Oryctolagus cuniculus: one gene and its partners. The protein of the gene in region 1 purifies or fractionates together with the protein of each later gene. This does not show direct contact. Links are inferred from orthologs where the notes say so. Each region holds a gene or a part of one and is shown in the gene's direction. Other genes may lie near its edges.

Region 1 (3,513 bases):
CTCCAGTATGTCCATTTGTCTCCGTGGCCCACTGCCACCACCCCATCCTGTTCATGAGCATCGATTTGTCACTGTAGCAAATGGAGTCAGGAAGCCACTGCTGACTGGCCATCCCCCGACTTTAAAAAAAATTTTTAAATCTATTTTCATTTTATCTGAGAGACAGAGAGAGAGAGAGAGAGATCTTCCATCTGTTGTTTCAATCCCAGAATGCCTATAAGAGCCAGGGCTGCGCCAAGCTGAAGCCAAGAGCCAGGAACTCCATCTTCCATGTGGATGGCAGGAATCCAGCTGCCTGAGCCATCACCTGCTGCCCCCGGGGTTTGCATTAGCAGGAGGCTGGATCAGAAGTGAGCAGCTGGTGTGGAACCTGGCACTCTGATGTGGGATACAGGCGTCCCGAGCAGCATCTCAACTGCTTATCAGATGTCCACCCCCGTCTCCTGACCTTGAGACCAGTTGCTGCTTCAGCCCAGCCCAAGAGGAAGCAAGTAGAGAGGAGTTTCCAGGCAACAGTGGATTTCTTTTCTAATAATTTCACGTCTGCCTTCTTTAGCAAAAGACTTTTGGAGCGCTGGAATACGTGTTTGATAAAAACGTTTCTGGCAAATATTTTGTTCTTAAAACCAGTGTTTGATGAAAGGTCAGCAGCCCCCATTGTGCCAGCTTAGTCCCCATCTGAATAAAGTAGAAGCCTGTGTTTGCTATACAACCATAGTATCTGAGAACTACGGACCAAAGAGATCATTAGTCCATTGCTTTCCAGAATCTGTTCTTAGCAGAGAATGCCTTTTCATTTGCCTCCTCATACAAAGCCAAGATACATGCTGGCCAGAGCGTTACTCGTTTTAGAAAAATAGAGTTGGACCTGTGGTCCAGACTCAGCCTCACACCCACCCCACCCTTGGCAACCCCAGTGCTAAGGAGGATTCTTAAAGCTCTGAAGAACATGGCTTATAAATTACAAGTTTCCCAGCCCTCTGCTAATGTGCCTGGGAAGGCAGTGGAAGATGGCCCAAGCACCTGGGCCCCTGCCACCCATGCGGGAGACCTGGATGGAGTTCTTGGCTCCTGGTATTGATCAGGCCCAGTCAGAAGAGGTGAGATGTTTTTCTGTCACTCTGCCTTTCAAATAAATAAAATACATCTCTAAAAATTGAATCTGGTTCTGTATCTTATAGATGTGAAAATGGAGACCTGTGGATAAAATAATAAATAGTTAATAAAATGAAGGGATCCGAAGCCTGGTGCTTCTACATCTCTTTCATATCCTTGAGAGATTCCTTTCAGGGCCCGGGAGTCCCTTTCGTGGCTTACATTTCTTTACTGAGCTCGGGGCAATCACAGTCACACAGCCAGCTCCTTGAGTAGCAGAATTACACCTCTCATTGCACTGAGATACGTGAAGACGACTGTTGGCATCTTTCTGCAGCTATTTCAACATGTGTACTTTTTAAACAAAAATTTATTTGAAAGGCAGAGAGAGAGAGAGCGCGCGCAAGTATGAGAGACAGAGATCTTCCGTTTACTGGTTTACTCCCTAAATGCCTGCAACAGCCAGAGCTGCTCCAGGCCATAGGCAGGAGCTAGAAACTCCATCTGAGTCTGCCCCAAGGGTAGAATGGACCAAAATACTCGAGCCGTTACCTGTTACCTCCCAGGTGCAGTGGCAGGAAGCCAGATGGGAAACAAAGGCTCAATTCCAGGTACTCTGATGAGGATGCGGGGTCCCAACCCGCTGTGCCACAATGCCCGCCCCTCGCCACGTGTCAGTTGTCAGAGGTGTGAGTTATGCCTGTTGCTTCTCGTCCACGCAGAGTATCTCAGGAGCATCTCCTTGCCGGTGCCCGTCCTGGTGGAGGACACGAGCAGCAGCAGCGAGTACGGCTCTGTTTCCCCCGACACTGAGCTAAAGGCGGACCCCTTCTCCTTCAAAACCAGAGCCAAATCCTGCGGCGAGAAAGATGTCAAAGGAATACGGACCCTCTTCCTGGGGTAAAGGGCTGCCTGGCCCGGGGGGCGGGCGCGTGGCTCCCCGGGACCTTGCGCCTCATGCCGCTCCCCTCGTTTCAGCATTCCAGATGAGAACTTCGAGGACCACAGCGCACCCCCTTCCCCCGAGGAGAAGGACTCTGGGTTCTTCCTGCTGCGGAAGGACAGCGAGCGCCGCGCCACGCTGCACAGGATCCTGACTGAAGACCAAGACAAAATTGTGAGAAACCTGATGGAATCTCTAGCTCAGGTACGGCCCCACCCCACCTCCACCCCCACCCCTACCCCTCAGTGATACTTTGTGTCCAGAGCTTACAAGTTCTCCCTGTGTCACAGCACCTGGGGCTGTCACAGAGCATGGGAGCCATGAGGCCCCTGAGGTGCTCGCCGTGATAGACTATCCTGGGAACGGAAAGAAGCAGTTCCTAATATAGAGACTGGAATGGGGAAGCTATTCTTTTTTAAAAAAGATTTTATTTATTTATGTGAAATGGAGAGTTACAGAGAGAGGGAGAGACAGAGAGAAAGGACCTCCATCTGCTGGCTTGCTCCCCAAATGGCCGCAATGGCTAGAGCTGTGCCAATCTGAAGCCAGGAACCAGGAGCTTCTACTGGATCTCCCATGTGGGAACAGAGGCTCAAGCACTTGGGCCATCTTCTACTGCTTTCCCAGGCCATAGCAGAGAGCTGGATCTGAAGAGGAGCAGCCGGGACACGAACCAGTGCCCATATGGGATGCCGACGCCACAGGTGGAGGCTTAGTGTCCCCCCAGGAAGCTATTTTTAAGTCAGAAGCAATTTTTTTTTATGTTGGAGAGGTTACAGCCAGTCCCTTTCAGCCCTGTTTGTTCATTTGTTTATTCTTTTAATTCCATTTGTTCAGTCAACAGGCCTTGAGCCTTGTGTACCTCTGACTCCCATGTTAGCAGGAAGCCACCTGCCAGCTGTGGTTTTGAATGTTTGGGAAGCATCACAACCACAGCAGAGACGTGGTTCTTGTGGCACTGGGTTCAGATGCAGGGTGAGAGCTCTAAGAAGTCTCTGCTGTTCGCTGTTAGAGGGTTCTGTGTGCAGTGAACCAAGCAATTCTGGGTGATGAAGTTGTTGCTCCGTGGTGTATTTGTGTGCTAGAGATGCTGAAGCAAAATACCACAGGCTAGGAGGCTTCAGCCACAGACGTTTGTTTTCTCTGAGTTCTAGAATTGACAAGTCCAAGGTCAAGATGTCAGAGGCTTTGGTTTCTCCGAAGACCTCTCTCCTAGGTATGCAGATGGTTTCCTTCTCGCTGTGCCTTCACATGGACTTTTCTCTGTACAGGTGAACCCCTGCTGCCTCTTATTTTTAATTAAGATTTATTTCCTTATTTATTTATTTATTTGAAATGCAGAGAGAGATCTTCCATCCACTGGTTTACTCCCCAAATGGCTGCAACAACCAAGTCTGGGCCAGGCTGAAGCCAGGAACCAGGAAGTATATCCAGTATCTCAGTTGGGTGGCAGGGGCTTGGGCTGTCCTCCAACT
Region 2 (3,513 bases), on another chromosome or scaffold:
TCTGCATGAGAGACCTGAATGGAAGTTCTAGGATCCCAGCTTTGGCCTGGCCCAGTGCTGGTTGTTTTGGGCATTTGGGGAGTGAACCAGCAGATGGAAGACCTCTCTTTCTCTGTTACTCTGCCTTTGAAGTAAATAAATAAATCTTAAAAACAAAACAGAGGGAAGGTGTGTGGGCAGTGCCCTGTCACTTGGAGCTGCCAGGGTGGCACTCACTTCCAGCCAGAGCCTCTGAGATCACGAGTGGCCCTGTGGCAGCCCGGGGTGGGCGTGGGGATCAGAGAGGAGACAGACATGGGTGAGGCGGGAGGTTGCCCCTGTGCCAGTGTCTCTGGGCTCCTGGGGAGCTGGCGCCAGGTCGGCTGGAGCCTGTGCTCTGAAGGGCCAGCTTGCTCGCTCACTGGCCACAGGGCTCACGCCTGCCAAACTCTGTCCGGGTGGCTCACACGTGTGACATTTTGCACAGTGTCCCCAGTCAGTCTTCCCAGGAGCCCTGGGAGTGAGCCATGCAGATCACAGCCCCTGACCCACAAACCCCAAATGCAAGAAGCTCGAAAGTCCCGCAGCTGTCCCTCGGCATGATGCACAGTTCGTTTATCTGTGGAACTTGACCGGAACTGATGGGAGGCTGGGCCCTAGCTGGCCTGGGAGGGGTAGGGGTGAACGCAGTGGCGCGTCTGCCTTCTGATGTGTCATTGGGTGACGTCACTGCGTGCACATGCAGAAGCTGAGGCAGCTGTGTCCTGGGTGGCATTGCCTGACAGGGCCGCCCTGTTGTGCAGCCACTGCTGAGTGAATGCTGGGGCCAGGAACAGACGGCCTTGGGTTTCCTTGCGGAGGGGGGAGTGGCTTGCCCTGTGAGCACAGTGTGGGACCTATGGAACATGCGCTAGTCAGAACTGCCCCGCTCCGAAGTGTGGTCCTGGGGTCTCCCAGCCTGTGTCACTGTCCTCTCTTTATTGAAGATTTATTTATTTGAAATGCAGAATGACAGAGAGAGAGAGAGAGAGTGATAGAGATCTTCCATCCACTGGTTCACTCCCCAGAGGACTACCGCAGCCAGGGCTGGGCCAGGCCAGAACCGGGAGCCAGGAACTCCATCCAGATTTGCACTAGGGTGGCAGGGAGCCAAGCACTTGAGCCATCCTCTGCTGCCTCTCAGTGTACACGTAGCTGGCAGCTGGACCAGAAGTAGAGACGGGACTCAATTCCAGGCACTCGGATAAGGGATGCGGCATCACAAGCTGTGACTTAACCCCCTGCGCCACAGCGCCCCACTCCCTCCGCCTCATGTCATTACTCTTCCTTAGAGATGAGGAGAGGTCCCTAATCTTCCCGGAGCCACCCAGTCAGCTGGGTCTATCCCGCTGACCTGGGGGAGAGGAGGGGAGGGCTTGGTGGGGCTGGGGCTGGGGTGCCGCCCCCGGGGTTGGCCTTCCCATTTCTCTCATGGTGCGTTTGGGTGGATGGAGGATTGAGTGTAGGGTGGCATTTGGGGCTCAGGGGTTGGGAAGGTCACTCTCTCTGTGCTCTCGCAGATGGTGTGGTCCTGGTGGATCCCGAATACCTGAAAGAGAGGAGAGGTAGGCTGCAGCCCCACCCCCACCTGCCACGGGGCCCCTCTCCCACGCCTCCTCTGTCCAGGGACCTCCTGGCCTCCCAGGGGGCCTCCGGCTCATCCCACTGCCACTCCCTGCCCATCCCTAGTGGGGCCTCCTGCCCCAGCCCTTTCACACCAGTGAGGGCTGGGGATGCCGACAGAGCAGGAGTTAGGACAGGGCCCCAGGGAGGGGAAGGGATTCTGCAGGGTCAGCGGGAGGAAGGGACGAGATGCCTGGCAGACACCTCCCAGCATTAGCTCGCCCTCCCCTGCTGTCCCCTGCCCACCAGCCCCAGCCCTCACTGCCCATCAGACCACTCCCTGTGCCCCCACCCCAACCAGGCAAGAGTGGGACAGAGATAGCCACCGGCAACACACCCACAGGCACACAGCCCATGGGCTGCCCTTCCAGGCCCCCAGTCCTGGCCTCTCCAAAGGGAGATGGGTGACCGCCGGGCTGCAGCGGGAGCTCTGGGTGGGGGAGGCTCCCTGCTGCTCTCCAGGCCCCTCCTCAGTGGCCCCTGCTCCCCCACAGTCTATGTGACACTCACCTGCGCCTTCCGCTATGGCCGGGAGGACCTGGACGTCCTGGGCCTGACCTTTCGCAAGGACCTGTTTGTGGCCAACGTGCAGTCCTTCCCGCCGGCCCCTGAGGACAAGAAGCCCCTGACGCGGCTGCAGGAGCGGCTCATCAAGAAGCTGGGCGAGCACGCCTACCCATTTACCTTTGAGGTCAGGGACTGCCACCCTCGGGCCCCTTCTGGAAGGGCGGAAGGGGGCAGCTGCTCCGTGTCACCCACTTGTCCCACGTATGCTGGGCCCTGGGGCACTTACGTGACCTGGTACCTGTCTCTTCTCTGGTCACTGCTAGAGCGTCCTCCTTACTTGTGGGATCCCCGCTGAGTAGGAGGGAGGGGAACCCAGGGGCCGCAGAGAGAAGGAGCACTGTGCTGTGTGGCCCCAGATCGCTGGGCCCGCCTGCCTCCCAGCTCCAATGCCCTGCCCTGCCCCCTGCCGATTCCAAGACCCAGATTCTGGGTTCCAGAACGCCGAGCTCCTAGGCTGATTCCATGCTGTGGGCATTAGAGCCAGGCGGGCTGCGGGCGTCTCTCTGTGCGGATGTGAGTTTCCTGCACTGCCCCGCAGGCCCCGGGCGATTACCCACAGCGATTAAGGCAGCTGACGTGGGTGATCTCACAGCTCTGGCAGCTGCAAGTCTGATATGGGTCTTGCCGGGCCTGGATCTGGGTGCTGGTGTGGCCGTGTTCCTGGATTACCGCCTCCCCCCACCTGGATTACTGCCTCCCCCACCTGGATTACTGCCTCTCCCACCTGGATTACCACCTCCCCCCCTCCCACCTGGATTACCGCCTCCCCCACAATCCCAGGTCCTTGACTCAGTCGCAGCTGCAGAGTCGTGTTGCTGTGGAAGGTGACCTAGCCACAGGCTGGGGGCAGCAGGGGGCAGGCAGCCTTGGGGGCCGTCACTCTGCAGCAGACGCCAAGGAAGCCTCCTTCCCTGCTATGACCGCGACGACAGGGCTGCGGGAGGCATGGCATGGCACGGTCTGATGGGGAGGCCCAGCTTGTCCTCGGGAGCCTCTAGTCTGATGGGGGAGACGTGTCTTGTCCTCGGGGCCCTCATCTGATGGGACAGGCACAGGCTCTCAAGGGCCTGGTGTGATGATGTGTGGGAGTGGCAGGAGTGCGGGTGACAGTGGCTCGTTCTGTCTCCTGAACAGATTCCTCCAAACCTGCCATGCTCTGTGACACTGCAGCCCGGGCCCGAGGACACGGGCAAGGTAGGTCACCCCAGGGGAATCTCTCTGGTCCAGGGCCCTCTTGTCCCCAGGTCCTGGCCTTCTCCCTGGTTGGTGCTGGACCCATAGGACCACCTGCCTTGTTGGAGCTTC
Region 3 (4,221 bases), about 100 Mb from region 1:
TTGAGATGAAAAATGTCTTTCTTGGGGCCGGCGCCGTGGCTCACTTGGTTAATCCTCCACCTGCGGCGCCGGCATCCCATATGGGCGCCGGGTTCTAGTCCCGGTTGCTCCTCTTCCAGTACAGCTCTCTGCTGTGGCCCGGGAAGGCAGTGGAGGATGGCCCAAGTGCCTGGGCCCTGCACCCGCATGGGAGACCAGGAGGAAGCACCTGGCTCCTGGCTTCGGATCGGCACAGCGCCAGCCGTAGTGGCCATTTGGGGGGTGAACCAACGTAAGGAAGACCTTTCTCTCTGTCTCTAACTCTACCTGTCAAATAAAAAACATTTTTTTAAATAAAAAAGTCTTTCTTGCGATTTTGACTCTTTGTTAAAAATATTTATCGTTACAATTATGAAAAACGAATTTATCAAGCAGCACAAAGATTGTGCAAATTTTTGCATTACGAATTTTTAATAAGCTAGAAGATTGTGTTCATGGTGCATCGCTGAAATAGACCACGTGTCTTTTGACTTCAGCCAGGTAAGAGACCCAGGCAACTTCACGGCTGTGAATTATTATAAGATGGAGAAAGTCCATTGTGAAGGGGAAGGAAGAGGGAGAACCTCTACCGCAGGCGCTCGCTCTGGGAGCCCAATTTTGGGAAAGCTGAGGATCTGAAACTTAAATCCTCTTTGTCAAGACCCAGTGGTCTTGGCGAGTTTTGTTGCTCAATTTGAAGGCTGTAGGCCTGGACGACTGGCGAGAAGTGACAGGGATTCTCAAAGGAAGCGTCAGGGATGCAAGGCCGCGGGCCTGAGGCAGGAGGCCACCACCCGCGCGTGGGCTTCGCGCTGTCCCCGCAAGCGCGCCTCGGGACGCGGCCCGGCCTCCCCCACGCGAGGCGTCTCCTCCGGCTCCTTCCTCACTCTGTCCTCGGCTCTCCCTGAGGAGCAGGAGACCACCGCGTCTCCCCGCACGCGCGGGGGCCATCGCCCAGCTGCTCCCCCCAGCCCCCGGACCCCACGACAGAGCCTCGAGGGGCCGATGCCGCCGCAGCGTCCAGGCCCCACTCGGAGAACAGCGCAGCGCCGCTCGGGTCCCGCCGGCTTGGACGCTGATTAGTTCTGAGGCGGAGCTCGGAAAGCCAGTCAACAACAACGTAGCGATAGTAATACCACCACCACCACCTTCAGGGAGCGCGGTGCTCGTTTGTACGCATGCGTCGACATTTCCCGGCCGGGGACGTAGCACCTGGAAGTGGAAGCGGCGGCCGGGCAGCGGCGAGGGGCGCAAAGCCCATTAAGCGGTGGAAACCGGTACCTGGGAGATAGGAAAGCAGGACCGGAAGCCTCACTAATTGCCCAGCGGAAGGAAAAGGTTTTATTTCCCCGTTTAGACACGCCTGCCCTTTCCTGAAGCCATGCACAGCCTTGGCGACCCCAGTTCTTCAGCCAGCCTATTCCACTGCCCCCCTCCCACCCCTGGGAAAGGTGGCTCAGTGGTCTCGGCACGCGACTAGCTGGCGGTTGGGCTCGAGGCAGGAAGTTTCTGATTGGCGGAGTCCCAGAAGCACCAGGTGAAAATAGCTCCGCCGGCTGAGGGCCCAAGTCACTGCAGAGCTGGGGCCGTACAACAAAATGGCGGCCCCCAGCAACTTCGGGACGCCCTGAAGGGGCAGGCCCCGCCCCCTACAGGTCAGGGGGAAGGGAGTCGCGGGCTAGGTGGGCGGTACTAGGCACGCTCGGTGGGGCCTTCCGGAAGCAGGAAGGCTGGGCTCCGTACGACAATATGGCCGCGCTTATACGCGTGTAGGCGGAAACTCCGCGGCTTCCGGTCTGTAGTGGGGCCTGCGGTGGGAGGGGGAAGGAAGGCGGAGGGAACCATGCGAGGTTCTGAGATCAGCGGCGAGGGTCGTCTCGTGAGACCGTTTCTGAGGTGCGGGCCGGACTGTGTGGGGAGCGAAAACGGGGGAGGGGATATCGAGGAGGCGGTACTGGGGAGACGCGGGCTCTGAGTCTGAGAGGCATGCTCTGGTACCTTATTCCTGAAGGGAAGTGGGGCGGCTAGGGGTCTGACCTGGGGGAGGGGGACTTGGCGGGAAGCTCATCTACCCTGCCGGCGCGACTCAAGGGTGGGATCCGAGAAGAATCGGGAGAGCCCACTGTAGGTCTCACGATCGGTTACAAGTCACAGAGAGCGACCAGGTAAAATCAGGGTGGGGTGAGAGGGAGGGCTCTTGAGGTGTCATACTCCAACCCAGTGCCCTGGTTTGAAGAAGCCCATCAGAGGGTGAAATACGGAGTTAATAGCAGGAGGGGAAAGGAGAATGGATCGTTGAGAGGACTGTTGGATTGTCTAGGAGTTGGGGTGATCATTAAGGGTGGGGTATGGGTTTGACATGTTTCGGGGTGAAAGGGGCCAGACGTGAGGCAGCCAGAGCGAGTGTGTTTTCCGTGTGTGAGGGTGTCATGGGAATCTGGGAAGCGGGACTGGGGTTGGAAGAACCAACTTGACAACTATGAGAAATAGTGGGGAGATGGAACAGAAAGACCGGAAGCCAATGTGAGAGGTAGAGCTGGGTGTGGCGATTGAATGTTTGCGGTTCCCTGTCCTGGGCCACTTGAAGGGCCCGGGAAGGCATCCAGAGCTAATGGTTGCAGAAGACAGGCAGTGAGGACACTGTTGGGCAGGGCTGGGTGTTGCTGAAACCCACGGAGATTGGAAACTGAGCTGAAGGGAGGGGCTATGCTGGAGGGGCTCTTTCTGAGGCCCCATCCCCTTCCAGCAGGAATTCTGAAACCCCCAACACTTCCTCCCTCCGGGGGATTTGATCCCTCATGGCCACCGCTAACAGCATCATTGTGCTGGATGATGATGACGAAGATGAAGCAGTCGCTCAGCCAGGGCCCTCCCACCCACCCCCCACTCCGGCCTCACCCCAGGCAGAAGCCCCTGGCTCCTCTGAGCCCCATGGGGCCGGAGGAAGCAGTAGTTCTGGCGGCAAGAAATGCTACAAGTTGGAGAATGAGAAGCTGTTTGAAGAGGTGAGCTTTAGGGGAGAAGATTCTTATACCCCAGGGAGGGGGATGGCGCACTGGCTCTCTGGTCCTCTCTCCCCCACTAACTGCACCCCCCCTTCTCTCTCTCAACCCCCTCCCTTGTCTCTTGTCCGCTCTCTTCTTCCCCCGAACCCTCCAGTTCCTTGAACTGTGTAAGACGCAGACAGCGGACCACCCTGAGGTGGTCCCGTTCCTCTCCAGTCGGCAGCAGCGTGCCCACTCTGTGTTTTTGGCCTCAGCCGAGTTCTGCAACATCCTCTCTCGGGTCCTGTCCCGGGCCCGGAGCCGGCCCGCCAAGCTCTACGTCTACATCAACGAGCTCTGCACCGTTCTCAAGGCCCACTCAGCCAAGAAGAAGCTGAACTTCGCTCCTGCTGCCACCGCCTCCAGTGAGCCCTCTGGGAGTAATACTTCTGCAGACCCGGCCTCGGAGCCCGGCAATGCTGAGGCCGCTGTCTCCGAGGCCCCAAGGACCCGTGGCTCCCGCCGGCAGATCCAGCGCCTAGAGCAGCTGCTGGCACTGTACGTGGCGGAGATCCGGAGGCTGCAGGAGAAGGAGCTGGATCTGTCAGAACTGGATGACCCAGACTCCACGTACCTGCAGGAGTCGCGCTTGAAGCGGAAGCTGATCCGCCTCTTTGGGCGACTGTGCGAGCTGAAAGACTGCTCTTCGCTGACCGGCCGGGTCATAGAGCAGCGCATCCCCTACCGCGGCACCCGCTACCCAGAGGTCAACAGGCGCATCGAGCGGCTCATCAACAAGCCAGGCCCCGACACCTTCCCCGACTACGGTGATGTGCTGCGGGCCGTAGAGAAGGCAGCTGTCCGGCACAGCCTCGGCCTCCCGCGCCAGCAGCTCCAGCTCATGGCCCAGGACGCCTTCCGAGATGTGGGCGTCAGGCTACAGGAGCGACGCCATCTCGACCTCATCTACAACTTCGGCTGCCACCTCACGGATGACTACAGGCCAGGTAGCGGGTTAGCGGGGTGCCCGTCGGAGGCAGAGGGGACCGCTCGCCCTCTCTGCCAGGGTGTGGGCTGAGTGCTCTGCTGTCATATCTTCCCATGTAGGCATTGACCCTGCACTGTCAGATCCTGCCTTGGCCCGGCGCCTTCGGGAAAACCGGACCTTGGCCTTGAGCCGCCTAGACGAGGTCATCTCCAAATACGCAATGATGCAAGA
Region 4 (3,513 bases), on another chromosome or scaffold:
CTGGTGATGGGACGCCAGCCGCGTCTGGCGTGCGGTGCCTGTGCTGTGTCTCAGTTCCCGCCCTGTGCCGTGGGGACGAACAGCTGTGCCCTCAGTTGGGAGCTGTGGCGAGCGCGTCAGCAGGTCACCCTGGGTCGGGGCCTAGCACTGTCCCTTCCCCCTACCAGTGCAGGGCCTGGCAAACCCCAGGCACTCAGACCTGGCCCCGTGCCCCGGTGCTGGACAGGCTGCGAGCCTCGTCCCCTCGTCCCTCACGCCTGGTGAGCTCCTGGCGGGTTCTGGGTGCAGCCCAGCTCCTGCGGGCCCACAGGGCTTGAGCCTCAGCCATGTGTGGGGCCAGCACAGTGTGGGGTGTGGCCCTGAACTGGGCCCCGGGGCGCTGCTCCACCTGTACCATTGCTGTGAGGGTGGGTGCTGAGCCCCGGGCCGCCCCGGTGCTGGGAGACCCTCAGGCCCCTGTGAGTGGGAAGCAGGACCCCCTTGAGAGGGGGCACCTTAAGTCAGCTCTGTCCCTAGCCTGGCCCGTCCCTGGGGAGCCTAGGGCATGTTGGTGGACTGGGGGTTGACCAGATGCCTCTTCTCTCTTTTTAGGAAAATCCAAGAGGAAGAAGGATTTACGGATCTCCTGTGTGTCCAAGCCGCCTGCGCCCAACCCCACGTGAGTCGGTCTCAGTTTCCCCCGGCTCATCTTGGACAGGCTTCCTGGGGTCCCGGCGGAGGGAGCCCCGAGGAAGGGGGCTGGCCCTGCCCTGAGTGGCAGAGGGTTGGGGGGGGAGGTCCCAGCATCACTGAAGCTCTGTGCCCCACCCCATCCTGGGGGCTTGGCCCATGTGACAGCTGGGGTCCCCTGCAGCTCCTCAGCCCACCCTGGCCCTCTTTGAACTCAGTGTCTGCTTCCCCTCCCCCACAGACCACCCCGGAACTTGGACTCCCGAACCTTTATCACCATCGGAGACAGGGTAGGTGCCGCCGCCGCCGCCGCCGCAGCCCTGGGCGCAGCCTCGCCATTCTCTGATGAGCGCACCACGCTGAGCCGCTGGGAGGGCCCTGGGAGGTGGAGGAGCCTGGCTCCTGGGGTTGCTGGCCGTGGCCCTGGGCCGCCTTCTCTCTGACATCCCTGCAACCTGGGGTCCGTGGGGAGCCGAGTGAGCATGGCGCTCTCCGGAGCAGGCTCCTGGGCCAGCCAATGCCCCCACGTGCCCACCCAGGCTTGCCTGACCTCCGGGGCCCTCCCTCGACTGCCCAATCGCTGTTCTATCACCTGCACACTCGTCTCTCCTGGTGGAAGGAGCCCCTTTGAGGGCAAGGCCTTCCTTTTGTTCTCACTGGGAGACTTGCACGTGGCAGGTGCACTCAAGTGGCCGGGGGTGGGGGCGAGGGAAAGGGCAGCTCCCGGGCTCCCTTGGGTGTTGGTATAATGAGCAGCTCAGAGAGGTTCAGTGACTTACCCAGGGTCACACAGCAGGGACCGAGCCCAGATCTGAAAAACCGATCTTCTCTCTCCACGGTCCCAGCTGTCCCCACTGGGCCAGCTCCCAACTGGGTGCCCACCAACCCCCTCTCTATTCTGCCCCTCCCTCCCAAGAACTTCGAGGTGGAGGCCGATGACCTGGTGACCATCTCAGAGCTGGGCCGTGGCGCCTACGGGGTGGTGGAGAAAGTGCGGCATGCCCAGAGTGGCACCATCATGGCCGTGAAGGTAAGCGCCGTGCCCACTCGGCTCCAGGGCCTGGAGGCAACCGGGAGGGCTGCCTGGAGGAGGTGTGCGGGCGAGGGCTGTCTGCCCCCTGCCGGGGCGGCCTCTCCACTGCAGCCCCTTTCCCCGCAGCGGATTCGGGCCACCGTGAACTCACAGGAGCAGAAACGGCTGCTCATGGACCTGGATATCAACATGCGCACAGTGGACTGCTTCTACACCGTCACCTTCTACGGGGCGCTCTTCCGAGAGGTGCGGCCTGGCAGGGTGGGGGCAGGGGGTGGGGTGTCGAGGGGCCTGCGCCAGTCTGCCTGTCTGCCAGGAGCCTCTGTCACTCAGCCCCGCCTTTCTGCATACCAGGGGTTGGGGACACGGGGCAGGCTAAGCAGAGCCTGCACAGCTGGGATCTTAAGCAGCCCAGGCCCTGGCATGGGACGGGCCCGGCTCCCTTGCCTGCCATCTGGCACTGCCCTGCTCTGTGCCTCCGTTTCTCTGTCTGTGACTATACGCACCTCTCAGCGCCCTCCTGTGGTGGGCATGGGGGCTGAAGCCATGCACCAGCAGGTGCAGCTGCAGCCTGGGGGTCGGGGGCGGGGCCTGGCTGTGCAGGGGTGAGGTTCTGGGTCTGCAGGAAGGGCAGGCGAGGCAGCCAGGGCTGAGCCACCACAAGGCAGGGGGCAGCGAGGCAGGCCCGTGTTGCTGGCTGGCTCACGGCTGTCCTGGAGGGCTGTGGGTTTAGGAAGCAGAGGGAGAGGCCGACGTCCCAGGTCGGCGCAGGCGCGCAGGCCCGGCTAAGCCCGGTGCCGCCCCCAGGGAGACGTGTGGATCTGCATGGAGCTCATGGACACGTCGTTGGACAAGTTCTACCGCAAGGTGCTGGAGAAAGGCATGACAATCCCGGAGGACATCCTGGGGGAGATCGCCGTGTCTGTAAGTAGGCTTGGCGGGGGCGGGTTTCCAGGGCCAGGGCCAGAGGCCCCCTGGTACTGCTCAGCTCCCTGACTCCAGACCGGAGCCTTCTCGCTGGGAGATGCCAGACCAGGCTCCGGCCTCTAAGAGCAACTCTGTAGCCCCTGCCATTGTTAAAAAAGAAACTTAGCATTTCCACCTGCCTCCCACCAAGCACAGCGCAGGGCAGCTGCAGGGGTGCAGGCCAGGCTGGGGAAGGTCCGCATTGAAGCGCTGGGTCTTGGAGGAGGGCTGGAGCATCCTGGCAGCCAGAGGGAAAAGGGCAACGGGCTTCTTGGTACCACCAGAGGCTGTCCACCCTGAGTGGGGACATTGAAAGCAGGGTGACTTCCTACGAGGCCAGCAGCTTGCCGGACCAGGGCAGGGGACTCGGGGAGACTGGGCTCTGCCCCAGAGGAGCCTGGTCGGTGGTGTGATGGCCCTGGGAGGGGGGTACAGCCTGGGATCCCTGGGGGTCCGGGGCAGGGCTTATGACCCTGAGGGTGAGAGGGGGCGGGCAGGAGGTGGGCGTGTCTGGGCCAGGATATCCGGGGTGCCAGGGCAGCTGCTGGGTCATAGGCAGGAGTCCGGGTGGGGGCGGGGGTGGCAGGGCTGCAGGGGGCTCAGGAGGTGGACATAGGGTTGTGGGAGGGGTCTGGCTGCTCCGATCCTCACCGGCCGGCCCTGCCCTCCCCAGGTGGTGCGGGCCCTGGAGCACCTGCACAGCAAGCTCTCGGTGATCCACAGAGGTCAGTGCTGTGGGAGGAGCCTCGGGCTGTGGGGCGGGGAGGCAGCTGGGGTGGGGGACCCCCTGCCCAGCCCAGAGCCTCCTCTCCCGCCCCGTGCCTGGGGCCACTTGTCCCGGCTGG
Region 5 (3,284 bases), on another chromosome or scaffold:
ACGTCGTCATGGTAATGGGCGCCCGCGGGGGGCGGGGCGGGCGCCGCGGGCCTGTCTCACGGCCTCTCCGCGCCCCTCAGAACTGGGCTGGGATGCGGTGTCCCTACAAGCTGCTGCGGATGGTGCTGGCCCTGGTGTGCAGTGAGTAGGGGCGGGGCGGGCGGGGCGGGCCCGCGGGCGGGGCGCCGCCCACCTGCCGCCTCCCTCCGCAGTGAGCTCGGAGGTGGGCCGCGCCGTGTGGCTGCGCTTCTCGCCGCCGCTGCCCGCCTCGGGCCCGCAGCCCAGCTTCATGGCGCACCTGGCGGGCGCCGTGGTGGGCGTGAGCATGGGCCTCACCATCCTACGCAGCTACGAGGAGCGCCTGCGGGACCAGTGCGGCTGGTGGGTGGTCCTGCTGGCCTACGGCACCTTCCTGCTCTTCGCCGTCTTCTGGAACGTCTTTGCCTACGACCTGCTGGGCGCCCACGTCCCCCCGCCGCCCTGACCGCCTCCTGGGCACAGGGGAGGCCCTGCCCCCGCCCCGCCCCCGGGTCCGCGGTCCGCGCCTTTTGCAGAGTGAATAAATATTTTACACGGCACCAGGTGGCTGTCCGGGGTCTGGAGGCGTCTCTGCCCCCCGCTTCCCGCGGACCGTGCGGGGCCCTCCCATCTACGAAGGGACTGGGCTGCGGCCCCAGGGGACAGGCGGTGGGTGTCCTGGCCCACGAGTTCGGCCTGCACGCCGTGGGGGAGGGGGCCAGGCTGGGGCCGGTCAGGCACGGTGTCCCACCGCCCATGCCGAGGGGGCGGCGCCGGCGGGGTCGCTCCCACCTGTGCGGACGCTGCCTCACGGGCCGCACAGGGTGCCCGGGCGGCTGCGGCAGCTGAGGCCGTACTCAGCTGCGGGTCAGGGCGTCCTGGGTCGTCTCCGCCGGCGGGGCCCGCCCCCGGGGGCCCGCACGCGCTGCACGCCTCGGCCTCCCGCTGCCCCCATGCCGGGGGCGGGGCGTGCGCGGAGGGGCGGAGCCCGGCCGCAGGGAGGCGGTCCTTCGGAGGCTCCGCGCGGCGGGCCCCGCCCCCACCCCGCCGCAGCGCGCACGCGCGACCCCGCCCCCCGCGGCCGGAAGTTCCGGTGGCGGCGATCCGGGCCGGGCCGAGCGGGGCGCGGGCTGCGGGCGGCCGGGCGCGGAGCCCGCGAGCGGAGCCCAGGCCGTGCCGCGCGGCGCCATGAAGGGCAAGGAGGAGAAGGAGGGCGGCGCGCGGCTGGGCGGCGGCGGCAGCCCCGAGAAGAGCCCGAGCGCGCAGGAGCTCAAGGAGCAGGGCAACCGGCTCTTCGTGGGCCGCAAGTACCCGGAGGCGGCGGCCTGCTACGGCCGCGCCATCGTGAGTGCGCCGCGCCGGGGGCGGGCCTGGCGCCGGGGCGCGGCCCTTCGGGGCCCCCCGGCTTGGGGCGTTTGACTCGGCCCCGGCGGCGGCGGCCGCCCGGGTGCGGGTGCGGTGCGGGTGCGGCCCGCGCGCACGCCCACAGCGCGGCCGCCCGCTCTCCCCAGACGCGCAACCCGCTGGTGGCGGTGTACTACACCAACCGCGCCCTGTGCTACCTGAAGATGCAGCAGCACGAGCAGGCGCTGGCCGACTGCCGGCGCGCGCTGGAGCTGGACGGCCAGTCGGTGAAGGCGCACTTCTTCCTGGGCCAGTGCCAGCTGGAGCTGGAGAGCTACGACGAGGCCATCGCCAACCTGCAGCGAGGTGGGCGCGCGGCGCGGGGCGCGCGGCGCGGCTGCGGGCGGCCGGCCGGGCTGACCGCGCGCCCCGCGCCCGCAGCCTACAGCCTGGCCAAGGAGCAGCGGCTCAACTTCGGCGACGACATCCCCAGCGCGCTGCGCATCGCCAAGAAGAAGCGCTGGAACAGCCTGGAGGAGCGGCGCATCCACCAGGAGAGCGAGCTGCACGCCTACCTCGCCAGGCTCATCGCGGCCGAGCGCGAGAGGTGGGCCCCTCCGCGCGTTTATTGACAGCGGGGCGGGGCGGGGCGGGGCGGGGCGGGTCCTGACGCGCGGCCGCTCGCCCGCAGGGAGCTGGAGGAGTGCCAGCGGAGCCACGAGGGGGACGAGGACGACGGCCACGTCCGCGCCCAGCAGGCCTGCATTGAGGCCAAGCACGTGAGGGCGGCCCGGCCGGCGGGCGCGGGCCCCGGGGGCGGCGGGGGCGGCGGGGGCAGGCGGCGCTGGGCCGGGGGAGGGCCGTGTGCGGCCCCGGGGCAGCGCCCCCTCGCTTCTTCCAGGACAAGTACTTGGCGGACATGGACGAGCTCTTCTCGCAAGTGGACGAGAAGAGAAAGGTGAGCCTTGTCGGCGGGGCCCGTGGGCAGGTGCCGGCCGCCCGCCCACTGAGCGCGCCCTGTGTGCAGAGGCGCGACGTCCCCGACTATCTGTGCGGCAAGATCAGCTTCGAGCTGATGCGGGAGCCCTGCATCACCCCCAGCGGCATCACCTACGACCGCAAGGACATCGAGGAGCACCTGCAGGTGGGTGCGGCCGCGGCGGCCCGGCCGGGCGCCCCGCCCCGCCGCGCCGCTGACCCCGCTGTCCCCGCAGCGCGTGGGCCACTTTGACCCCGTGACCCGGAGCCCCCTGACCCAGGAGCAGCTCATCCCCAACCTGGCCATGAAGGAGGTCATCGACGCGTTCATCTCGGAGAACGGCTGGGTGGAGGACTACTGAGCCCCTGCAAGGCCCGCCCCCGCCCCCGCCCCGGCGCCGCCCCTGTCCTGCAATAAAGTCCGTGAGCACGAGCGCTAGCCCAGGAAGGTGGAGATGAACACGCACGTGTCCAGGTTGAGCGTGGCGTGCCACCAGCGGGCCGGGAAGTACAGCACCTGCGGGAGGGGCGCGGGCGTCAGCGGGGGGCCTCGCCTCCCCCGCCCCGGCCCCGGCCCCGGCCCCGGCCCGGACCTCGCCCGCGGAGATGGTGCACTCGAGCGGCCGCGCGGCCGGGGCCAGGCCTGGGTACGTGTCCCGGAGCCAGGCCAGCGTGGTCTCGTTGGGGTGGAACTGCGGCGTCTTCTCGGGCGGGTACAGGAACCAGCGCTGGGGGAGGGGAAGCGCACGCTCACCCCGGGTCCGCGGGTCCGCGCGCCCAGCCCCTGCCCACGGCACTGACCTTGCGGCCGTAGATGACCTCCGAATACCCGGGCCCGTGCCAGTGGAAGGGCACCCCGGTGCCCGCGCCTGTGGGTTTGGCGGGTGAGCAAAAAACCACACCCCCCTGCCCTGCCCCCGTCCCCGGCTCCCGGGAGCACCTGC

What was found.
Region 2: the proteins of MAP3K5 (region 1) and ARRB1 purify together in Homo sapiens (affinity purification with western blotting; 3 studies listed by BioGRID and IntAct, with this or other methods). This does not show direct contact. The link is inferred for Oryctolagus cuniculus from reciprocal best matches to the Homo sapiens genes MAP3K5 and ARRB1.
Region 3: the proteins of MAP3K5 (region 1) and DAXX purify together in Homo sapiens (affinity purification with western blotting; 7 studies listed by BioGRID and IntAct, with this or other methods). This does not show direct contact. The link is inferred for Oryctolagus cuniculus from reciprocal best matches to the Homo sapiens genes MAP3K5 and DAXX.
Region 4: the proteins of MAP3K5 (region 1) and MAP2K3 purify together in Homo sapiens (co-immunoprecipitation; 4 studies listed by BioGRID and IntAct, with this or other methods). This does not show direct contact. The link is inferred for Oryctolagus cuniculus from reciprocal best matches to the Homo sapiens genes MAP3K5 and MAP2K3.
Region 5: the proteins of MAP3K5 (region 1) and STUB1 purify together in Homo sapiens (affinity purification with western blotting; 3 studies listed by BioGRID). This does not show direct contact. The link is inferred for Oryctolagus cuniculus from reciprocal best matches to the Homo sapiens genes MAP3K5 and STUB1.

The regions. Positions count from the first base shown.
Region 1 is NC_091436.1:32,275,222-32,278,734, forward strand, and holds part of MAP3K5 (mitogen-activated protein kinase kinase kinase 5), read left to right. Parts: intron 1-1,817; coding exon 1,818-1,995; intron 1,996-2,073; coding exon 2,074-2,242; intron 2,243-3,513. UniProt on the Homo sapiens protein: Serine/threonine kinase which acts as an essential component of the MAP kinase signal transduction pathway. Plays an important role in the cascades of cellular responses evoked by changes in the environment.
Region 2 is NC_091432.1:66,421,633-66,425,145, reverse strand, and holds part of ARRB1 (beta-arrestin-1), read left to right. Parts: intron 1-1,538; coding exon 1,539-1,583; intron 1,584-2,135; coding exon 2,136-2,332; intron 2,333-3,342; coding exon 3,343-3,402; intron 3,403-3,513. UniProt on the Homo sapiens protein: Functions in regulating agonist-mediated G-protein coupled receptor (GPCR) signaling by mediating both receptor desensitization and resensitization processes.
Region 3 is NC_091436.1:135,802,942-135,807,162, forward strand, and holds the start of DAXX (death domain-associated protein 6), read left to right. Parts: upstream 1-1,416; 5' UTR 1,417-1,555; exon of another isoform or gene 1,556-1,673; intron 1,674-1,780; exon of another isoform or gene 1,781-1,914; intron 1,915-2,046; exon of another isoform or gene 2,047-2,183; intron 2,184-2,764; 5' UTR 2,765-2,816; coding exon 2,817-3,023; intron 3,024-3,177; coding exon 3,178-4,009; intron 4,010-4,109; coding exon 4,110-4,221. UniProt on the Homo sapiens protein: Transcription corepressor known to repress transcriptional potential of several sumoylated transcription factors. Down-regulates basal and activated transcription.
Region 4 is NC_091448.1:65,856,998-65,860,510, reverse strand, and holds part of MAP2K3 (dual specificity mitogen-activated protein kinase kinase 3), read left to right. Parts: intron 1-591; coding exon 592-658; intron 659-910; coding exon 911-959; intron 960-1,585; coding exon 1,586-1,699; intron 1,700-1,828; coding exon 1,829-1,948; intron 1,949-2,509; coding exon 2,510-2,626; intron 2,627-3,341; coding exon 3,342-3,393; intron 3,394-3,513. UniProt on the Homo sapiens protein: Dual specificity kinase. Is activated by cytokines and environmental stress in vivo. Catalyzes the concomitant phosphorylation of a threonine and a tyrosine residue in the MAP kinase p38.
Region 5 is NC_091450.1:34,026,448-34,029,731, reverse strand, and holds STUB1 (E3 ubiquitin-protein ligase CHIP), read left to right. Parts: upstream 1-1,206; coding exon 1,207-1,362; intron 1,363-1,529; coding exon 1,530-1,728; intron 1,729-1,803; coding exon 1,804-1,969; exon of another isoform or gene 1,970-2,053; coding exon 2,054-2,141; exon of another isoform or gene 2,142-2,263; coding exon 2,264-2,506; exon of another isoform or gene 2,507-2,576; coding exon 2,577-2,702; 3' UTR 2,703-2,773; downstream 2,774-3,284. Other genes in the region: RHBDL1 (rhomboid-related protein 1), read left to right, coding at 1-11, 81-141, 213-867; JMJD8 (jmjC domain-containing protein 8), read right to left, coding at 2,777-2,857, 2,934-3,068, 3,142-3,209, 3,281-3,284. UniProt on the Homo sapiens protein: E3 ubiquitin-protein ligase which targets misfolded chaperone substrates towards proteasomal degradation.